Arabidopsis thaliana: one gene and its partners. The protein of the gene in region 3 interacts with the protein of the main gene of each other region in a pairwise test. Each region holds a gene or a part of one and is shown on either strand. Other genes may lie near its edges.

Evidence for each region.
Region 1: the proteins of AT2G31790 (region 3) and DHAR1 interact in a two-hybrid assay, tested with the Arabidopsis thaliana proteins (one large-scale study listed by BioGRID).
Region 2: the proteins of AT2G31790 (region 3) and ZW2 interact in a two-hybrid assay, tested with the Arabidopsis thaliana proteins (one large-scale study listed by BioGRID).

The regions. Positions count from the first base shown.
Region 1 is NC_003070.9:6,769,858-6,777,623, forward strand, and holds DHAR1 (dehydroascorbate reductase), read right to left. Parts: upstream 4,667-7,766; 5' UTR 4,557-4,666; coding exon 4,499-4,556; intron 4,375-4,498; coding exon 4,284-4,374; intron 4,098-4,283; coding exon 3,605-4,097; 3' UTR 3,445-3,604; downstream 1-3,444. Other genes in the region: AT1G19565 (uncharacterized protein), read right to left, coding at 2,227-2,523, 2,587-2,789, 3,022-3,113, 3,222-3,274; GAMMA CA1 (gamma carbonic anhydrase 1), read left to right, coding at 5,080-5,194, 5,449-5,592, 6,158-6,283, 6,386-6,537, 6,945-7,235. UniProt on the Arabidopsis thaliana protein: Displays a dual function. As a soluble protein, exhibits glutathione-dependent thiol transferase and dehydroascorbate (DHA) reductase activities. Key component of the ascorbate recycling system.
Region 2 is NC_003070.9:21,638,183-21,645,485, reverse strand, and holds ZW2 (transcription factor-like protein), read right to left. Parts: upstream 4,396-7,303; 5' UTR 4,337-4,395; coding exon 3,659-4,336; 3' UTR 3,445-3,658; downstream 1-3,444. UniProt on the Arabidopsis thaliana protein: May be involved in the regulation of abscisic acid (ABA) sensitivity.
Region 3 is NC_003071.7:13,514,556-13,523,170, reverse strand, and holds AT2G31790 (UDP-Glycosyltransferase superfamily protein), read right to left. Parts: upstream 4,973-8,615; 5' UTR 4,903-4,972; coding exon 4,616-4,902; intron 4,179-4,615; coding exon 3,818-4,178; intron 3,730-3,817; coding exon 3,004-3,729; 3' UTR 2,807-3,003; downstream 1-2,806. Other genes in the region: AT2G31800 (Integrin-linked protein kinase family), read left to right, coding at 40-114, 201-305, 401-486, 797-917, 1,018-1,097, 1,186-1,248, 1,350-1,471, 1,625-1,710 and 3 more; ARI11 (RING/U-box superfamily protein), read right to left, coding at 6,029-6,032, 6,124-6,212, 6,734-7,972.

The sequences.
Region 1 (7,766 bases), on a different chromosome or scaffold from region 3:
ACAATGATTATAATGAATACGATGATCATGACGACTGATCTTTATGACGCGTGGTATGTCAACACACTTCCGATGGATCATGAAATTGCATGGAATACATATATAAGGATTTGGATCGTCATCCAGTCCACAAACATTACAAAAAAAAGTTCTTTGCGGCATAAGAGTGAGTGAATGTTTATGAGCCTTAGGTTGAACAAGAGTGAAAGGGGGTGGATTCTTTGCACAATCCACATCCACACTAAAATTACAAATAGAACAGCTATAGAACACGTTATGAAGTTTGTTTCCACATAAACATTTTTCCATCTGAGTAATTTGGAACACGCGTGAAACGCTTGAGAATGTGACTAGGATGACAAGAGTAGTTGATCTCTGGTGTGGATTCGGCGCAATCTTTGTGAAAACTCAAATCACATAAGGTACATACATAAGGGAACCGATCATCAAGCCGTCCACATAGATAACAATTAAACATAACCATCTTCGGAATAAGGGATAAACAATGCTCGTGGGTTTCTGGACTTTGAATTATTATTTTAACTTCTTTTTTTGCACATATCAAATCGATAGCAAAATCACATGTAGAACAATAATAATATATTTTTGGCAAGTTACCTCTACAAAGCTTGCATTCTTCATCAACATTTTCATTTTCTGCAACTACTTTGATAAACAAAGAATGTTGTGGATGATAGAGGTTATGAATCTCTATATTGGAGTGGGCGCATTGGCTATGAAAGAAGAATCCAGAACGAAAGCAACGATACCCATCGCTATAATAGTCTTTACCTAGATTGCAGCCGTCACATTTTAGCCCACGCGTTTTTACTAGTGAGTAAATTTCCTTTTAGTATTTCCATAGATGAAATAAATCTATGCTTTTACTTCTAGTTTTGTATATAATTTTCTTATGTTTTGGTTTATGTAACGATGATAGCTTTCAGTTTATATATATAGAGTGACTATATTGAGTTTCCCCTTTCGACAAAAAATATCTATATTGAGTTATACTTTGTTTAGATGAAAAAAGACCTCCATAGAATTATGCTTGTCTTAATATTGAGGATAATATAGACTTAAACGAATACATCTTATTTATTCTTTGTTTAACTAAGAGGAAGTGGAAGCCCCCTGCCCCATTAAAAATTTTATTCTTTGGTTCAGATACGTTAAAAAAAATTTAAAGATCTTTAAAAAGTATATTAAATTCAAAATAAATAAAAATAAAAAGTGCAAAAATAACTCCAAATGACAAAAAAAGAGAGTGTAGGATCAACCATGAAATAAGAAGAAGAAAAAACAAACTTCAACCTAAATTTTCTTAGACTAGCTAGCCAAAACGAAAACGGCATGGTGTTCTCCTGACGATTAACAAAATGTAGCCGCCATTAATTATGTTTCTACACAGCCAAATTGCGATTAAGGTTTCGTGTTTATTACAATTGAATGAACTTAGTGTGTTTAAGTTCTCTTTGTAGTTCCCAAAACACATTTTAATTCCCAAAACACATTTTAGTTCCCAGAAAGACATCGAATACAAACTTTGACCAGAAAGTATATTCAAAAAAATAAAACGACGTTCGAGATATGGAAATAACCTAGTCAGTAGTAAAGTCTCACCCCCAACCTTCCACAATATCAATTTCTTTTGCACCGTTTTTCTCTGTACGTAACTGTTCACTCTGCTGTGAAAGAAGCTCGAGCATGATGATCGTGACACTAAACCGTCCAATCTCCGGAGGTTACGACGTTTAATTAAAAGGACATTGCCACTACATAGAGTTCCGGTTTTAGAAAGCTTGCGTCTCAAGTTTTGTACTTTACCATTTCAACCAGAAGATATCAAACTATGCGTTGAATATTCTTCTCATCATAACAAATCTGCTACATTGCCAATTTGCTTGTACACCTGCAAATCGCTCGAGACCCTCACATTCTGTAATGCAATTCTCATGGTTGTTCCTCGTATGGCTTTTCTTCCATCTCTGAAAAACTTGCAACTAGGACAAATTAAAGGACGAACACTCTTGACATTCAAATCAAAGTTACAGCAACAAGTAGTCGAAAGACGGGGATGTACGAGAGAAGTCATTAACTCATAAACTTGAGTAACACACAACAAGCGAAACATTGAGAAAATAAAAATGTAGCCACACCACCATCTGGAGAAACAACTCTCAAATCGATAAAATGATAATACATAATGGGACGATAGGATACTTGTTATTTGGAACGCATCAACATCTTGAATTCAAGCGACATCTGGTTTGGTATTCTAGTCGTTGTTCTCCTTATGACAGCATGGTAGGGAAAACCGTGACGGTTTGAAAAGGTAACGTAGAAGTTTGCATTCGCTGCCTTGGCCTTCATCGTCAGCTTCGGCTCCCAGGTTTGCACAATTACATATATTAGCTCCAATGGCTTTGCCCACTCCACTAGCTTAATAGATGCCCAGTGGGAGAACAATGTGATTTCCGCGTACAGAAGAAACAATTCCTGGTGTCTTCCATCTCTGATTTTCTCAACAAGTAGAATTTCGGCTTATTAAGCATAAACAAGAGTAAGAACGTAGTAGTAAATTACCAAAGGTGGAGCCGCCCAGTCTACCGTCTGGGGATCAGAACATAAATCTTTGTAGATTTCACATTCCGGCCTTTCTCCCGGAGCCGGTTGTTGATATTTTGGTGAATCGGGTGATTCATGGTCAGCATGACAGCTGTCAGTTGGTGATTCTGAAGAGGGCAAGGATGGTTCATATTCCTCCTCCGGTGTAACAAAGTTGTCATCTGGATAGCCTTCAGATTAGAAACCTCTTACACGTCCCCGCTCATATGGGTACGGTGGATCAGGAAAAACGACGTATCCCTCAGAAGAAGAGAAAAAACAATTTGATGCAAATCATGAAAATCGCTGGTCATCCACAATAAAATCCGATTACCTTACGACTGCTGACGGTGCGACTATAACTGCCTTCTCCCAGGAACATTCTTGGAAAATCTCACCCAACCCTACATTCACCCGCCCAAGAACATTGTATCGCAGAACGATATGGTTGATTTGTGGGATGTAAAGATCGGTAAGACTCTCGAGTCTCGACAAGACTTATGTTTCTGAGGAAGAACTCCTCAAAACCATCAAAGGTGATCAGTTAAACCATAAAAACAGTTTCTGATATCCAATATTCATCAGTCCAAACTCCAAAGTATTAAACGAGTCACTTGCATTTGCAGAGACCCAGCCTCCAATGGATTTTTTTGTGGGTTTGATCCATACGGTCCTTGCGAAGAGCGACTTTACCTCCTTGACTATAGATCCTTCTTTTGGAGTTAAGACTTCTGAGCTTTATCCTGAGGTCAAGTACACAAGTACTGTCGATGAGTTTCTTAAATAATTTGTCTGAAAAAACCCTTGTCCCTTATGTTACGTGTAGCCAGTGTTTATCCGAGTTTCGATATGGAGGCAAATCTTATTTCAAAATAGGCTTCTTATTTGATTGATACAGTACATTACATAAAAAGGTCCAAGTACATTATTTGACTGATATAAGAGAGAGACCTTGAACAACATTACCACACCAACGATCTCATAACGGTGCATAGTTTCAAGGGTTAACCTTGGGAGCCCATCCAGAGATCACATACTTTTCCTCGGTCTTAGTTTTCTCAAAAGAGTCGAGCGAGAACAGAGTCTTCATGTAGTTATGGACATGGGGAAAGCTCTCAGGGACAGACCAGCTTTTGAAATGGCCAAGAGCAACTTGAAGGTGGTAAAGCTTTGGTGCTAAGCTTAGATCCACTGCGGAAACTCTTTCTCCGGCGATAAAAGGGCCATCGTGACTCTTAAGATGGTTTTCCAAAGCTTCTAGCTCAACAAGCAAGGCATGTTCAGATCCGTCATTGGAGTCTTTGCTCTTCAAGAATGTCCCAAAAGTACCAAAAATGTTGGATCCAACAGAGGCAAATTCAGCAGGAGTCTTGAGTGGTGGATCAGGATACTTCTCCTCGAGTATACCAACGATGACGTCGGAATCAGTCACCCACTTGTCGTCGATCTTAAGCACTGGTACTTTCCCTTGAGGACTAATGTCCAAGAACCTGCATCATATATAAAACCAAAGCCACCAATTTCAAGTTCCGGTTAACACAATGCTCGCACATGAAGCCAATCCAATTTCCGGTTAACACAAAGCTCGTACCAGTTACAAGTAAAATTTCAGAGATTATGGCTAAACAAGTTCAAACTAGACCGATCTTAAGGGTTTAGGCGTGAGAGAAACTGACCACTGGGGTTTGTCAGAGAGGTTAATCAGATGGATTTTGTAGGTAAGACTCTTCTCCTCGAGTGTGAGAAGAGCCCGTTGGCTGAACGGACCTAAAACGACAAACAAACACTTAAATTAGTAAATTTACCAACGATCAAAGCTCAGAAATTAAGAATTGCAAAATCAAAAGCTTAATGCAAAACAAAAACAGAGAGAGAAAGAGAAGATGGTTACAGTCGCCGAGATGATCAGGAGCACCAACAGCAGCTTTCACACAGATTTCCAGAGCCATCTTGATTCTTCTTCCTTTGTTTGCAGAGACGGATGAATGATTGAGTTAATCAGTGAGAAGGCTTAGCTTTTAAACTGAATTATTACCATTCTCCACCCACCAGTGGGCCATTTTTACCCGATGTTTATCTTTTCTCACGTGTTATGCGTTGCAAGTGACGACGATACGAAACGACATTGTTACTGATAGGGCCATTTGATTTTTGGTCGGCAGGTTTTGGACCGTTCAATTTAGTGAAAATATAGTAATAAATTCGTACCGAATAATATAATCGGTTTAATGAAACTACTACCTGAAATATCGAATTAGATTTGGTTCATATTTCGTATTGTTTTGGTTCGATTAAACCATATTAAACCACTGTAACTGTAATTTATTGTTTCGCCGTCCCGGAATGTTCCTGTTGAAATCCATTTTCGCTGATTTTTTTTCTTCCGTCTCTTCTTCAGCTTCGACCATTTTCGTCTTCTTCATTCAGTGTTGAGTCCTCGTTTACCTGTGAGCTCGAAGAAAGTGACGATCAATGGGAACCCTAGGCAGAGCATTTTACTCGGTCGGTTTTTGGATCCGTGAGACTGGTCAAGCTCTTGATCGCCTCGGTTGTCGCCTTCAAGGCAAAAATTACTTCCGAGAACAACGTAAGATTCTGCGTAACTCTATTTTTCACTCCGATTTCGAATTCGTAAAGAGTGAGGAGTTTCGATTGGGTAATTCAGCTCACCTATTCTGGTTAGGTTAGAGATCTGGAATTGATGTCTTTGTAGGTATAGCGATTCTGGATTCGAATGGCACAAGGGATTAATTGATGTGGAATGTGTTTTGCTGCTTAGTTTTTTTTTTGTTTCCTGGTCACGAAATTTGCTTATATGTAATTGTGGTTTTCTCTGTGTAGTGTCAAGGCATCGGACACTGATGAATGTATTTGATAAGGCTCCGATTGTGGACAAGGAAGCTTTTGTGGCACCAAGCGCCTCAGTTATTGGGGACGTTCACATTGGAAGAGGATCGTCCATTTGGTATGGATGCGTATTACGAGGTGAGCTAGCTACTAAGCCTCAATGTTTGGTGTTTGGTGGTTGACTATTTTAGTGACTGAAGTTTTGTTTGAAATAGTATCTACTTCTGTATCCTTAGCTGTGTCAACTCTTACGATAGAAAATAGTGAACGAATATCTGTTTTTTACTCTTCTGGTTAAGCGATGAACAAGACTACTACTCAAAATGGAGCTTTCTAGCTTTATTGAAGGATCTTAAACAGATCATTACTACATATCGTATCTTGATGATACTGGCAGTTGCTCTAATGGGTGATTGGGTATATGATATCCCCAATCATATACAGAATGCTTTCATGTCATAACACCAGAATTAGTTGAACGATATCATATACAGATTATTGAGTTTGAGTTGAATCCTTATTGCGAGTATGAGTTGGCTAGTCTGGATTTTTATTTAATGGTGATGAAATAGGGTTGTCCTTTTTACAGAATGCTTTCATGTCATAACACATTGGTACTGTATGGCTAAGCCTGTTAGTACTTTACCAGGAAACTGGGATAACATACAATCTAAACTTGCTTTCTCTCTTTTTTTCTGCGCAGGCGATGTGAACACCGTAAGTGTTGGGTCAGGAACTAATATTCAGGACAACTCACTTGTGCATGTGGCAAAATCAAACTTAAGCGGGAAGGTGCACCCAACCATAATTGGAGACAATGTAACCATTGGTTAGTGGGAATCTCTTACTCACTGTTTATTTTGAAAATGTTTAATATGCATACATCTCCAAGAAGCATTTGGGATATAGTCTTAAATTAAATGTGTAACAGGTCATAGTGCTGTTTTACATGGATGTACTGTTGAGGATGAGACCTTTATTGGGATGGGTGCGACACTTCTTGATGGGGTCGTTGTTGAAAAGCATGGGATGGTTGCTGCTGGTGCACTTGTACGACAAAACACCAGAATTCCTTCTGGAGAGGTATGATTTTGGGTTTAACATTTCTGATTACCTGAAAACCCACAAGTAACCATTGGTGCGGGTATACTTCTATTGCTACTTAGACAGCATAGGCTATATTATTGACATTATTAGTGTCTTTCTTTCATTGGCTGAAAGTATTGGAGGTTGGTGTGAAATTGAAATACAGTTTCTAGTCTTGAGAATTCTTCTCCTCTATCTGGATAGAACGTATCTTATCCACTTTTCAGATGCCCTAACAGATTATAAATGTTAGTTAGATGAAAGTGGAAATGTTCTTCTAGCTATGGTTTATCTGCATATGAATGCCAAAGGGTGTTAGTCTCTCATCATGGCCTTAAAATTTACTTCATCCGCCATATTGACTGACAGAGTTAAAATGTTCGCATTGGTCTATAATGACTCAGGTATGGGGAGGAAACCCAGCAAGGTTCCTCAGGAAGCTCACTGATGAGGAAATTGCTTTTATCTCTCAGTCAGCAACAAACTACTCAAACCTCGCACAGGCTCACGCTGCAGAGAATGCAAAGCCATTAAATGTGATTGAGTTCGAGAAGGTTCTACGCAAGAAGCATGCTCTAAAGGACGAGGAGTATGACTCAATGCTCGGAATAGTGAGAGAAACTCCACCAGAGCTTAACCTCCCTAACAACATACTGCCTGATAAAGAAACCAAGCGTCCTTCTAATGTGAACTGATTTTTCAGGGGTATGTTTTCTGGCCGAAGCCCTACAGGGTGAGATACTCAAGGGGATTATGTTTCGGTCTCTGGTTTGAATATGGCAGGTAGAGTACATTAGGGTAGACGGATTTACAGCTTTTGAAGAAGCTATGTTCAACATTTTTTCATGGTTTCTTAGGGAGTATTATTGTCTAATCAAACTTTGTATGTTATCACTTCGGTCTTTTGAACGTAAGAATCAAGTTCATGAAACATGAGTGAATATTAGTCTGATGCATGTGCGTATGCAAAAATCCATGTGCGCCTATGTTGCTAGGCAAGCATGAAGAATAAAGATCCAAACTGGATATATCATATATTTATCTTTTTATAATTACTGCAAATTATTAGTGGGGTTGATGGTATTGGTACCGTGAATTACGCTTGCTTGGTCGTCTTTTTATTTTTTTGATAAAATCAAATCTTGTATCGTGTATCTATTATTATGATTCGTCTCCTTCCTTTTGTCAAAGGCCGTTTCTTTTCTTGAGATTTATCTTTTGTTTTC
Region 2 (7,303 bases), on a different chromosome or scaffold from region 3:
CCACAAACTTGTGGAACAAATTCGCAGAATCCACTATACGTGTTTGCTGCCACTTTTTGTGATAAGTTATGGCCGAATATTACCATTATTTGCCTGGCTGTTTCAAAATTGGAACACTATCTTTGTTTTGCTGACAAATACAAAAGCTCTTTTTTCTTTTTCTTGTTTTTGGTTGCTTTTATGTTGTCCATAAGCAATTCCTCAAAATTTTAGCGTTTTGCCGTTTACGTGTAAGCAAATTCATATTTATGATTATTTTTTTGGCAGTTGTGATGTTGAGATAATAAAAAGCTCCTTAAACTTATCTGTTAAAATGAAATCACAAAAGTTGCAGAATTGTTTTCTCCAAAGCTGTATTTTGGTCAATTGTAGATATCAGTGACTGTTATAGCGGTATTTACTATTGGGTGAATTGTGTTTAAATAGATTGTAAATGATATATTAGTTTAGAAAATAATTAAATAATTTTTAATCAATATTTAAGAATCTTAAAAATCAATCATAAAAATACGGAGAGAGTAGATAACAATAGTGTTTTAAAAAATTGTCAAAATAAGATGCCATTGTGTGCCTTTTTCAAATAAATGTTTTTTGAAAATAATGTGATACAAATCATAAAACATACTTGCTAGCACATAAACAAAATATTCGTAGGAAAAAATACTTGAAATCCAAGTAACTAAAAATATGGAGTAAATATTAAACTTATTTACAATTTGCTATTTTGTAAACATAATGTGGTTGTTAGTGCATACTGTATCTATAATCATTAACAATTTGTAATACAAAAAATGTTTCTAATATAATATTAAAACATAGAAAATCAAAACTATAAGGTTTTTACTTTGTTTTAAAACTTATTTTTATTTTGACAACTCGGGTGATCCGATGTAACGGACACCATGCGCTCCGAGCCAGGTTCTCGATTGGGTCAACAAGCATGAGATCCGACTAATCTTGGGGCCAGCAAAAGCAATGTGAAAAATCCTGAAATCCACACGTTTATGAAATAGTTTTTAGAATCGAATGAATTGTTTGTAGGGTACGTAAACACACAAGTATTGATAGTTTTAAAAACAACAAAAAACCACTCGAGTAAATACTAGCCTTCGGTTCCTAATTTCCCATGAACATATCTAAGGACCGAAAATATGAATTCTTGGAATTCATATTCCATTTAGCATTGTATGTTTACTTGTATTCGAATTCAAAACAAACGAATAGTTTCTTTTTTCTCCTTCTGCGGATTGGAAAATCGAATGTTAGTATCCACTATTTAATATGAAAAACTATTCTTCTTATGCATGTTTGCGTACTTTGCTTTTTGTTTCTATGCGACGACGTCCTTTATGAAGTTGTGACGCTATACAATGTACATTTTTGGAAATTAATAGAAAGCCACCGTAATTATGCGAACCTTTCTTTAAATATAGTGATGTGATGTCCATTTGCCTACATCCAACGCACAATAATGCTGTCACTTCAATATTTTGGAAGAACCCTAAAATTATTAGTATCTATTACCCGCATGTTTAATTTTAATCAACTGTTGGTTAATAGTGACTTAATATCAAATATGCGTCGAAGGCTAGCTAGTATTTTCTCAAGAGTTTTGTTCTTTATTATGTCGGATTTTGGGACATATATAAATAGATTTAAGGGTTGTCATTTATCACTCACAAGGTAAATAGAAAGTAAACCATAGAAGTAAGAAAGTATCAGCCTCAAACAAATTAATTGTTTCTTCTTGTTTACGAGTTTTCTAGTTTTGTCCGTATAGTAACACAAAAATAGTATTATGCTTAAATGATGACTACAAAAATACGTGACACTCGTCACAAGTTTTGTTTTCTATAATTAGTTATAGGTATATGCTTAAATTTTTACTTCGTATCATAGTCATAGACCTATACATAAACAGTTGGTTATTTATGGAGTCAAGACTCAATAGTAACCTAAATACTATAAATTATATAATCTAATATAATCTTGAGTTGACGCAACTAGTGTCACGTAGCTACAAAACTAAGCATCAAAGTTTCAAATTAAAGTAGAGATGCATTGCATCAATCTAATATGAAGTTAGAGAGATGCTCTGATTCTGCCAGACTAAAAAGTTATGAGTGACAATTCCTGAAAAGCAAAACGAATTAGTTCTCATAACTCATGAAAATGTTGCCTAAATTAATTCGAAACATAACATTAAGCCGGAAGGAATTGTCTCATCCAAGGTGTCTATCACCACAACTGCACATACGAATCCGATTCTTACAAGCCATTATGGATGGTTTCCCAATCTCTTAACCAAAATCTGCACCACGAAAAGAAGCATCTTTAGGTATCGGTTTTTTCCGACAGCAGGCATAAACCGAAGTTGTATCGTCAACAGTTTTTTGTCAAACCCACCAATGCTTTTTAGTTTTTACATGTAGTCATGATGAAGCAATCGTGCACTAAGTAATGCACTACGTGTGGAATCGAATTATGATCCGTTACATAATGTGAATTCCAGAAAGTAAAAGGGTTAGTGATAATAATGGAAGACAATTCTATTTCATTTGTACTTCAGTACTTGTTGTGCTCCCATGGTGCAACGAAGAATTGGATGGAATTTTGATTATTAAAGACTTAAAGTATTTATGGAGAATCAGTTTTCTACAGCTTTAGAAGTTTCAAGTCAAGTGCATGAGTAGATAGTAAGATGGTCTTTTTGTGTTCTTGCCGCTTAAATATTTTATAAATGAGGCAACTTCATGGGAGAGTGATCCCTTGAGCGCCTCTGCCAATAAACACTATTAAGTTGAAAAAACATGATATTTAGTACCTCAATATTAGTGAAGAAGATTTTAAATTCGACGGTGAAACGTGAAAAACATATGAGAAGCATGGACTATCGAAATGGGTAAGTTAAATTGTTATTATCACTGGCCATAACAAGAGAAAGAAAAGCAAAAGATACTAATTTCTTCATTTTATCCTATTAATTTTTTTTTTTGCAAAAATGGATATAAGAATTTCTAATTTTTAGCCAATAGATCATATGAATTAAAACATGATACTGTTCAAAACCCAAAAATGGGCGGACCTAGACGCTGAACAAGAAAAGCCTATCCATTCGCCAAGGCCCAACTAGTCAATATGTATGGAAATCAATGCCTACTGAGAACTGCAAGTAATCTTAATATAAGCTACATGTAACAAGAGCAAGAGCTAGAAGACTTACCACCAACTTGAATGCCATGAATTGTAAAAATTAATTTTGTGTTACGGTAAGTTGTGGACTGTATTGTTTATTCAAAGGCTTCTTACAATCGAACATAAAGAAGAAGACATTTTTGGGGAAGAAAATGAAGAAAGGGATAGAAGATTGGCTGATTAAATAAACCACTATCTTTCTTACATCATTCATCAAAATCTGACTATCATTTACAAAGTAGGATCAACTCTCACTAGAGAACTAAAAGTACGATGGCATGAAACGTAATTACATACAAAACTCATGTCCAAAGCCCAAACCTATACATAAGCACTACCGGATTTGTTTTTATTGTAGAACAAATGTTGTTCACTTATAAGACCAAACCTGATTTCGAAATACTTAGAACACTCAAAAAAAAAAAAAAAGAACATTAAAGTCCTAGCAAAGAACTGTTTCTCTCTACACACCTAAATCTCTCAGCCGGAGATAAAACTCTCCAGCGGCTCTTAGCAGCTTGATCGACTGCCGTGGATTCAGAACCTCCACCACTTTCCCAACCGTCACACACCGGAGTTGATCAGCGTTCTTCATCGCTTTAATCATCTCTACCTTCAAAACCTCCATTGCATCCTCCATTTCTGGCTGCTCTCCTTCGCCAAGCCTCAACACTCCGATGCGCCTAAATGGAACCATCAGAAGTGGATCCCCCACGCTCTGTTGTAGAAGCGCGAACCTTCGCATCAAATCTCTCTCCCTCCGTTTAGTCTCTAACCGAATGCTCTCGAGTTGGTCTATTTGGTGGCTCGTAAGGTCATTAACAGAAGTGGTTATGAGCTTAAAAACCATACCTGGTTTAAAACCTCCGATCCAGAGGATGAGTTTCTCGTATGAGCTGAGCCATGGTGGAGAGAAGAAATCATATATATCGTCACCGGCCACGGACATGGCAACTGATTTCTCTTCGTAGTATTGGAGATAGTGAGAAAGAAAGTTACTCACAAGAGATTCTTCTTCTATTGGAGTTACAATGGTTGTTTCATCAGCAAGGTGTGCAAGTTGTTGGACGAATTGCCTGTGACGGCAGAGCCAGTCATTGAAGAAGCTCGCAAAAGTTTCAGAGCTGCTAGTGATTGGCATGACTCATATATAGTTCCAAGTGAGTCAATGAATATAGACGAGACATGCATGTGTGTCTGTTTAAGTATTTATATAAGACAAAGACATCATCGTTAAAAATTATAGGTCGATTTTGGTGAAGTTAAGTAGTAATTAGAATGTTTAATTTTAATAGTAAATGGGAGCAGTAAGCGGTTTCAGAATGGTACAAAATAGTACAAAATGTACGATCTCTCATACAGATAATTTACGTAATTTGAAACATTTTAGGGCATGTCATTTCTAGGTAAATTTTTGTTTCTTATAGAGACATCCAAATTATCAATTGAATATCTAAATTACTTCAACAAATAAATAAAAAAGGACTGGGATGTATTATCTTGACCATCTACTTATCATCTAAAACCATCTCCATCAGTAGTCTCTCACATAGTTTCTCATTAACTAAAAAATATAAAATAATAATAAAATAGAAGAGAGATAGGAGAGAGATTGAGAATAGTTTCTTTGCAGAGAAATTTTAGAGTAATGATTGAGAGATTATGTGTATATGTGTGTATTTATAATTGCACAGAAACTAAATCATAATAAAATATTATTATATTTTTTTTTTGAGAAACTTTTAAAGTATGTGACCAATGGAGATGACCAATGGAGATGACCTAATGTCTTAATAATTGTTCTAGCCATCTATTAAATTACGAAACTATATATTTTTGAAGGTGTGATCAGTGAAAATAAGAGTTAAGTGGCTATATACACATCACATAAGAAATATTTAGCAACCATTTTCGGTTATTTTTATATTGATTTCAGAAAAGTTAACATTATTGGAGCTAAGTGTTTATAGACACTGTAGAATGCCATGATAATTTAAATTTATCCAAAAGTGAAACGTTTTCAATTTAATAGATGGTTATTTTTATATTTTACTTAATAGACTATTAATGATTTTAACATAATTATGATGATTATCAGTATTGGCTAATATATTATGTTTTTGAATCATAGTATTGATGTATAATAATGTGTATGGAGATCTAAAATAAAAGGTATATGTAATGTAATCACATTGTTCATATTCATGGATATAAAAAACATTTTTTCTATGCATAGTAATAAACTTCCATACACAACGTAAAATTCACTGTCACAAAACAAAAAGGGTTACAATCATATTCAGAGCTGCAGATTTAACCCGCAAAAAAATATCGAAGTGCTGGAGGAGGTCCTAAACCGGACGTAGCATCCATTGACAAGCTACATTGATCTATCATTTCAAGTTACAATTTTTTTTATATTTTTTTGATAATGTACAAAAGTTTTATGTTACGTTGATAAAAGAATATTAAGGCTGACGATCTTAAGAAATTGTAGACATGTGTGAAGAGAATCTATAACGTATATTCTTTTCTTCTTCTGGAATCCAGACTTTTGTCTTTACATTTAAACTTCACACTTGTGTTGTGTGGTAATGTTCAAGTAGAAAACAACAAATAACAATAGATATAATAAACCAATCGTAGTGGTTAAGAAACAAAGACATTGAATGAAGCGAATGTCGCTACACTGAACTTGGAACCATTGTAGGTAAGATTAAAAAAGGAACAAAAAAAAAAAAACTTATAAAGTTTTGTTAATCAGTAGTATCAAAAAAATAAAAGATGTGTTATTAAATTATTTTATTTTGTACAAATAACACACTCAATGTTTATTCAAATAGGTATGTTTTTATTACAAAAAAAAAAGAACTCTTTATAAACTAAATAACTCAAATAAGCTGCTGGCAAAGATAAACGGACTTAATTAAACTCACAGAGTCACATGTAAAAGTAACACTTTTTGGTATGATTATAAAAATAATATGCAAATCCATAGGTAAAAAGCCTATTTCAACATGTATAATTTTCGTCGTACGTGCTTGTACAAATTCATAGGAGAACCGAACCAAAGTGTATATATAAAAGATTAGGCCTTTCATAGAAGAAAAAAGATCAAGAGCTAGCTTTTGTTTTAATCTTAGAAAGAAGGAATTTACTTTGTTCGAGAAGCAGGCGTTCGTGTGCATGGATTCTGAATGATCTATGGATTCTGAATGATCTCAATACTTTGCGTAGAATAAGAAATTGGTTGGTGAGAAGCTAAGTATTTGTTTTAGTTGTCTGTAAGCCCAATAAGTGTGTGCAACAACTTTAAAAGATTTTCTATTGAAGTATTTTTTATATAAGGTGAGCCGAGGCTTGGTATATCTCGTCTCGTGTTACATACATCTTTACTTTTTTCATTTTCTCACCTCTAACTTCACCGAGCTTGTCAACGATCTCATATCCTTGGTGTGGAACAAACTAGTCCCCATCATACAATTTGAGAATTTTGTGACGACAATCATATTTCCTAGTGATAATCCCCTAGCTAAAAACTCATGTATAAAGTGTTTCATAAACAAAAGTTGTTTCTCATTAATGGATTTCTAGACTACGACTGAAGTGTGCAAAAATCATTTTCCATCACTGTATAAGGTCGCTTTTCGTGATGGGATTATTTATATATGAATTGGTAGTACTTATGGGGCTAAGGTAGGCCAAGCATATTCACTAAAACTTTTGGACTTCAAATACGAGTTTCCTACGTTTTATGTTATCTATCATCTTTTTATTCTTTATTGAGTTCGTGTTCCTACTTCAAACACTTTTTTTTTTCACTCAAGGAAGAAAAGAGTGAAGAAAGATTCTTAAATAAGAAACTCTAAGATATTTACGAGAATCCCATAAAACACATGTCTCTCCTATTTTGATTCAATATAATTTTTTAAATTAAAGTTTATAAAACTAAAATATATCAAAATAATAATGACTTTTTGTTTAAAAAAGCTTTAGAAGTTATGATGGATAGAATTCTCATATGGTTATTATCAGTGAAGTAAAAGAGTGGTTTAATCAACTAACTGTTCCTATTAGTGAGTTCCACGTTTTTCTCTCGTTTCCGTAG
Region 3 (8,615 bases):
GCTTTTGGTTTTGAAATTATGTTTGTGTTGTGTGGATAGGCAGCTGCTGATGCTAAGTATTATGGTAACATGGATGTTTTCAACATTTTGAAAGCCCGTGGAGCTAAAGTTCCGGTATGTTGCTGCATTTTTCATTGATTCAAGCTCTGTTCTTTTCATATCTTAATATGTTTATAGTTACATTTTCTTCTTGGTTTTAGAAAACCAAAAGGACACCCATGGTTGTGGCGAATCCTCGTGAAGTTCCTGAGTACGAGTTAAATCCGCAGGAACTTCAAGTTCGGAAAGCTGATGGTATCTCAAAGGCAAGATCTCTCTTTGCTTTACTTTCCTGTAATAATGTCTTAGTTTCCATTTATAGATTTTTAACAAGATACTACATCACTTTTCCACTTGCCAGGGAATATATCAAGTGGCTAAATGGAATGGGACTAAGGTTTCTGTAAAGATACTTGATAAGGATCTCTACAAGGATTCTGACACTATGTAAGATTACTCTTCTCTTCAGTGAGTAATATGTCTATGTTAGCTAACAGGTCAAGAAGGAGTTTGAATTTCTTCTTGAGTGAAGCTATAGATCGTTGAAATCATCTTTGTTATGTTCATAGTGATGATGATATGAGCTGTAACATTATTCAATCATAGTTCTTATAGAATCTTCTATGTTGGAATTGTGCATTTCCAGTAATATTTTCTGGAATCCACTTCATTCCCTCTGTGTTAATCCTTGTTTTTCTTTTCATATATTACGTTTGTTCTGCAATCTTCTCATCTGACTTTTATTATGTACCCACAGAAATGCCTTCAAACACGAACTTACTTTATTCGAGAAGGTACGTCATCCTAATGTTGTGCAATTTGTTGGAGCTGTTACTCAAAATGTCCCCATGATGATTGTGTCCGAGTATCATCCTAAAGTAAGCTTCTCCCTCTTTTTACACCTTAAAAGATTTTTCCCTCATTAAGCAATATTTGGATGGTAGGAACTAATGTTGTCCACTTGGTGGTAACTTGCAGGGGGACCTTGGGAGCTATCTTCAAAAAAAAGGTCGTCTTTCTCCAGCCAAAGTTCTAAGATTTGCCCTCGATATAGCCAGGCATGTGACTTTTTTGGCAAGATTGTATTCAACTTACAACTACATTTTTTTTAATAATCTTTTGAACGAATCATTTGGCTCTTCTCAGGGGAATGAATTATCTTCACGAGTGTAAACCAGAACCAGTAATCCACTGTGATCTAAAACCCAAGTAAGATAACTAAATAAAGAAGCATTTGCACGTTAAGTTTTTCGAGAACATATATTTGGACCCTCGTTATCTAATTTTTGCAACTTCTTGTAAGGTGCCAGAAATATTATGCTCGATAGTGGAGGACATCTGAAGGTGGCGGGATTTGGTTTGATAAGTTTTGCAAAGTTATCATCTGATAAATCAAAAATCCTTAATCACGGGGCCCATATAGATCCTTCAAGTAAGTCCTAAATGCTTATTTCCTCCTGAGAAACTTTGATACAAGTATTAAGTATAGAAACTGTTTCTACTATTGATATACTCATAAGTTATAAGAATGGTCCATTTCCATGAGGCAATAGTTTAAACAGATGATTTTTTTTGTTGTTTGCAGATTACTGTATGGCACCTGAGGTTTACAAAGATGAAATATTTGACAGGAGTGTGGATTCTTACTCTTTTGGTGTCGTATTATATGAGGTAGTACCTTATGGATTCATACGTTTTGGTGTCATCTTATATCCGGTACCTATTAGTTACGTTAATGGTCAAACATTGTGCTCCTCGGCATTTCTTGATGGCTGTATCTAGTCTGGTTTTATTCCACTCACTGTTCTATATGCTCTCTAAAAGTACTTCATTCTGTTTCTCAACCATTCTAGCTGATTATGTTTTTCCTAGCATTGACTGATTGAGGCCAATAAGCTTCTCTAGCAAATCTCATGCATCAATTCTCTGATGAGTTTATCTTAAAAATTTCAGATGATTGAAGGAGTACAACCTTTCCATCCTAAACCCCCAGAAGAGGCAGTGAAGCTAATGTGTTTAGAAGGAAGAAGACCTTCGTTTAAAGCCAAGTCCAAAAGTTGTCCCCAAGAGATGAGAGAGTAAGTGTACTAAGCTTTATCAACTTTAAAACAGAACTTGTTTTACACTTTAAGTTACAGTAACATCATTTGCTTGGTCCTTGATCCTTTACCCAACCTCTTTGAGCTTATTTGGTTCAATTGTTATTTAAACAGATTGATTGAGGAATGCTGGGATACGGAAACTTTTGTTAGACCAACATTTTCTGAGATCATAGTTCGATTGGACAAGATCTTTGTACACTGCTCAAAACAGGGATGGTGGAAAGATACATTCAAGTTCCCTTGGTAAAAAAACTTTCTCTTAACAACTCTTTATCATTTATGTTTTTGCATTTCTACTTCCACCTTAGTTAAGCCGACTTCTTCTAAGATCGTGATTTTTCTTATCCATAACGGACTAGAGCCAAGCTCTTTATATATATCATGATTTTTTCTCTCACCCAAATGTATGATTTCTCAGGAAATAGTACATAAGAACGTGAGAGGTTTACTCAGGAACACGAGAAACTCCACAATTCAAGAGCTCTCTTCTCATGTTTACAATAAACTCGATACAAAGAATACAAAAAGAAACGGCCCTCTCCGATTTGTCATTGTCTTATCGTGTAACAGTGTACAATGTAAACCCCAAAAAGTACTTTCATCGAGCTATATAGACTTCTCTACTGCACAGAACTGAGCATTTTGAGATACAATGTATCATATTTATATAAGTATCAAGAAAGCTCTTTATTCTTGTTATGCTTCAAATTCAAACATCTCCGTTTTTTAATACAGAGTTCATATATGGATTTGTTCGCAGGGGACAACCAATGGAACCAACAGGATAATTCAAATTTAGATGACAAAGAAGCCGTTATTAGGTAATCAACTAACAAACTGATGACATCTCAGTTTCAAATTGTTAAGTCAAAAGAGCAACAAACTCATCAATCTTCTTGTCGGAACTACCTCCTTCAGAGATAGCTTCGCGAGCCAACACCTTAAGCTTCTCAACATTCTTCCTTATCTCTTTCCCTCTCTCTCCTTCCATGACCTCAACAATGCATCTCGCAATCTCTTCTTTACTCGAAAGCCCTTCTCCATCGGTCCTCACTCTAACCCCAATCTTCCACACATCCTCTATAAACTTAGCATTTGTGGGCTGATCAGTCCACTGAGGCACGCCCACCATTGGAACCCCTAAGCATAGTGCCTCCAATGTCGAGTTCCATCCACAGTGTGACACGAAACACCCGATTGATTCATGTGCTAAAACCTCTAGCTGAGGAACCCACTTAGCCACAAGTCCAGAGTCTTTCTCCTCTGCCTCTTCGATAAAACCAGAGGGTAGTTTGCTTCTCTCGGATTCTCTAACAGACCACAAGAAGTGATATCCGGTTTGGCTAATCGCCATTGCAATTTCCTTCATCTGTTTTTCGCTCAAAGCCACCAATGTCCCAAACGCCACGTAAACCACCGACTTCGCCGGCCTGTTTCCCAACCACTTCAAAACAGACTCGTCTGGCTCTGTCTTGGAGTTCTCGAGTTCGTAATCTTTGTCTTCTGGCAACCGGTTATCCAAGAACTTCGATGGAACCACCGGTCCAATGTTCTTCACCGGCCATTGATCATTCATCCATTTCACTACCTGTGAAAGAAAAAACACGTTCCACAAAAACTTTCCACCTTCGAAAACTCAAAATAATGACCAAAACCAATCTAAATAATAACGTTACCTTTGGTTCAAGTTGATCAAAAGTGTTGCAGAGAATGCAATCAGCTTGCAATAAATTAGAGAATTGCCTAACCACAAACTCGTGTAGAAGAGGGTACGACCCTTTTTCGCAGGCGAACGAAGGCAGATCATCTTGGCTTAACAATGGGAAACCAGGAAACGATGCAAGTGTTGGGTTCTCGTGTCTATCAACGGGAACATCGTAGGTGCCTTCGTTGATATGGTAGTAAACAAGACTAGCCAACCATGGTTGAGTGAAATATGCCACTACGTATAGATCCAAGTCCTTGGCTATGTCCAATGCAAAGGGCATAAATGGATCATAGATCAGAGCTTTTGGAGGATTGTCCGACAACTTCGCACTGCATATACAAGGGGTTATATAACAGTAGAGATTGATAACGTTTTTGCATATAAATTATACTTATCCTAAAAACGCTACGAAACTTGCTTTGATAGTTTTAACACTAATTAAGCTTATTTCTTACATGGGCATTAATGCATTATATAAACTATTTTAAATTCATAAAAAAAAAAAGGCTTATGAATGTTGTAAATGGTAAAATCTAGCTGGATTACTGTGTATAAACATGAAAAGTGGTTGATAATCACTCAAAATATACATTAAAAGAGACAGAACACAAAACGTTTCGTAATTGACAAAAATAGAAATTCTATGTCACTCGGAAGTCCAGGATATAGATTTTTGACTAAAATTGTTCTCTCATCAAATTCCAAAGTAAAATTACCTCTAAAATAACTAAGGAGATATGTCATATTGGAAATTCATGTATTGTACCTAGAGATGAAATCGGTCAGGCTTCGAGAAGTAGAGTTGTGGAAACGGTCAAGATCTACGAACTTGGCGTGAGGGTGTTCATGTGGAAAGAAACCGTCGTGGATGGTGTGGACGGTGATGGAGTAGTCGTCGGAGGTGTAAGGTTCACGGTGGTCTTTGGAGGCGATGATGAGTGTGCTGGTGATGCCCTTTTTGGATAAGCGTTTAGCGAGTTGGATCATTGGGTTAATGTGGCCTTGTAATGGATATGGAAAAAACAGTACGTGACCCTTCTTTGCTTCACTCATTTTTTTGGTAAAATTGTTCGAACCAAAGGAACAATAAGTTGTTGATATTGTGTCTCCTATGTAAGTTAAGTGAATATAGTGTTATATACATGTCTCATTATTTACGATGTTGGATAAAAGTTATTATAATTTTTAGAATACTTGTCAATTCTTCTTTTTCGTCTTCTTCTTCTCTTCTTCTGTTAATTTGGTTTTAAATTTGAAGGAATGATTCATTATAAATTGATGCTTCCTTTTTGTGAATAAGTTTGTATGCAATGCGTGAGAGTATTTCAGGATTGATTTCTATGAAATGTGTAGAGAGCAATCTATGACGATTAAGACATTGTGATGGTAAAAAAAAAAAGATTCTTACTATGCCATATAATAAACGTGGCGGGTAGATGAAGCCATGAAGGGAGGAGATTAGGTGGGTGGGTCCGATAAAAATTTTGATTTCATTATGTTATCTTTCTTTTTTTGTGGATCATACTTTTTCATGTTATTTTAGAATTTGTTGGACTTCAGAAAGAGTTGTATAGATGAGCTCAACGAAAATAGAATTATAGATGCTTGAGTTCTCACAATTCATGTAATTTATTTTTAATCTTTGTCATGTTAGGAGAGGTTTCATCCGATGTTTGAATGGATATTACATTAGCTCTTAATCTAGAGAAGTTTTCAGACAATAAATACAAATTATGGTCACCAAAATTGCACTATGAAATATAAAGCAACCAAGCAGCAAAGTCGCAAATCCTTAATTGTAAATAAATAAAACTTTGAGGTCTAAGGTTAAAAAAAAAGGCATAAAAAAATCTACAGTCCTTCGCAGCAAACACATAAACCATAGAAAATATTGAAGTTACTAAAACTCTAAATTAAAGTTTTTATTTTCCTTGTCTTGGACCTTTTGGTAAAAGATTCAGGTTCTTCTATTGACTGGCTCTCATTATATGCCACGTCAACAAGACCGTTCTCCAAAGCTTTCACCAGATTTTCGAAGTAGGTTTTAGTTGCTTTAGTCAAATCAATTAATTTCGCTCGGAGCTCACCGAAATTTTTTGATGGGTCTTCAATTTTCCCGATAAACTGTTTCAACTCCTCCTCTGCACAATGATGAAGTCTCTCCAAACCATTTTCTGCCTCAGCTGAACAACAAGACAACGAAAAAGTTCTGCTACAATTAATGGAAAAATTAAGATTACACACAAATTAAGTGTTTCCGTACCAAAAACTGACCTTGCAAATACTCGCTTGTTGCGCTCTTGACTAAGTATGTAGTATCCATATGCATAGGTCCATTTCAAGACCCTCCTACACTCGATGATCTGTAACAGTAAAATCAAGTACATGTCAACAAGAATTAATATAATGTCGTAACTAACTTAGAGTCTAATTGGTAGTTCTCATGCATAATGGTGGAATGAGAATATAATTAATGCCGTAACTAACTTAGAGTCTAATTGGTAGTTCTCATGCATAATGGTGGAATGGTTTCACCATTTCGGAAAGTTAACCGTCATTAAGATGATTTTTCAATTTAATAAAGCTTTTCTAGTTTTTTCTACTACAGATTATGTTCCGCTGTTACAATGTAAGTAACAAAATCTAACTTAGAATCTCATTGGTGGCTAGCATAATGGTGGGATGATTTTTGCCAGTTTGAAAATTATACACACTTTTTTTGTAATCTATCTATTCATCAGTTCAGATCAATGATAAGTTACTCATAAAATCGTCTTCAAGAAAGCTTGTCGTTTATTATATATCTACTATGGTAGTAATTCCATTATGTTCCGTCGTTTCCACAAACATTTTCAATGGTCTTGTAAATGTTACTTTTACTAACCTGAAGCCATGCATCTACGGTGAAACTGAGCTGAGTTTCTGGTGTGCTCTGAATGTCACTAAGCTGCTTAAGCTCCACCGATTGCCATTTCTCCAAATCACTCATAGCTTTAAGCCTCGAGGATTGATTGAATGCCCATCTTTCATAAAAATGCGTGTATCTATCGATCGCATCTTTAGCCCTTTTTCTCTTAGTTTCATCCTCATTGTCTGCTTTAAACGCGTTGCAAGCCTTGTGATCGCTCAATGGTTGAAGGCATGCCCAACAAAAATAATGTCTACATGGAGCTGAGCATGACATATGGTTACATCCAGTGTTCTTCTCAATAGGACGCTTGCATTTAGGACAAGGCTTTGTCTTAGCAAGTATCCAATTCATGTTCTCCGACTCATCCTTGTTCTTTAGTAACCACTTTGACACTGTTTCACAATCCACAGGAGAGTGAGCGTCTTCACAGCAATTCCAGCAAAACTTATACGAACACAAACAAGAAACATCGTAACTACTACTTCCATTTACACCAAATTCAACCGCGTATTCGCATCCCGGTGATGGACACCATTTCATCTTCTTCCCGTCTTCGACATAAGACCTAAGAAAATATCTATAATACTTGTCCTTATCTTTCTTCTCAGTAACCTCATCGATCATGTCTTGACCAACAACAGCGTAACAAGAAGGTTCGGGACATTTAACCCTTAAACATCCCGGACCGTCTTCGATTTTCGTAGTGATGTAACCAGTCCAGCAGGTCTTGCAATAAGGATGACCACAAGAAACCCTAGCAATTTCCTTTCGAGTGTATGATTCAAAGCAAATTCCACATTGAATATCCACTTCTGTACCATTAACATCAACGACAGGCTCCTTTAATATACCAACGGTTTTACGGATTCTCTCTTCGTCCGTAAACCATTCATCTTCGAGTTTACTAACACACCAATGATAGTGAAGAAGCAGAACAATCGATTCCACTTGGCTTACAGAGAGAACCGTCGAAACTTGTTCGATATCGTCTCTTTGAAGCTTAAGAATGTCTTCTTCCTTAACAACAACGTAACTTTTCTCAGATCGACTAATTGTGTCGTCCACAGGGTTGTAGTCATCGGATACGTTACCACCATCGCTGTACAAATCCTCCTCTCCTGATTCGATATCGATGATGTCGTTACCACCATCGCTATACAAATCTTCTTCTCCTGATTCGATATCGATGATGTCACGATCTGAAGAACTCATGACCGTCTGAAAAAAAAAAAACCTTAAACGACTTTGAGATTTAAAGGAGGCAAATGAAGCCAAGTCTCATTGGTAAACTAGGGCTTTGCTCTAACAAGATCTCGATCGTTATTTTATTTATACTTGTAGAAGCTCTCTTCTAATCATCGCTCAGATATTAGGGTTATCATTAGGATATCCTTGGTGCTAAAACAACATAAGAGAGGATAACTCAAAATTATAGCCAATAAGCATTTTCCACGTGTTTCCATCTCGGAACACCGGAACGTTCTTCAGCTAGTGTTAAGTATAACAATTACGAAAATTAAAGTTTCTCTGGGCCCCACATGTTTTATTTGTATCATATCTATTTCACATTTTCGGGTGTAAAAAAATTCATCAAATTTTGTTTCTCAGTTTTCTCTTGGATTTTAGGCCAAATATATAATATTGGTTCTAAAGTTTGTTGAGGGAATTTTTTTTTTCGGTTGAAGATTTATATATCCAAAAATAACTTTTCAAAAAAAACAAATCCAAATATATATATATATATATAGAACTAACATCAAATGTTGTTAATATTAGTTTTTAAATTAAAAATAGTCATTAAACTAGCTGAAGAACATTAAACTATCCTTAATATTACATCAAATGCTATTAGTTT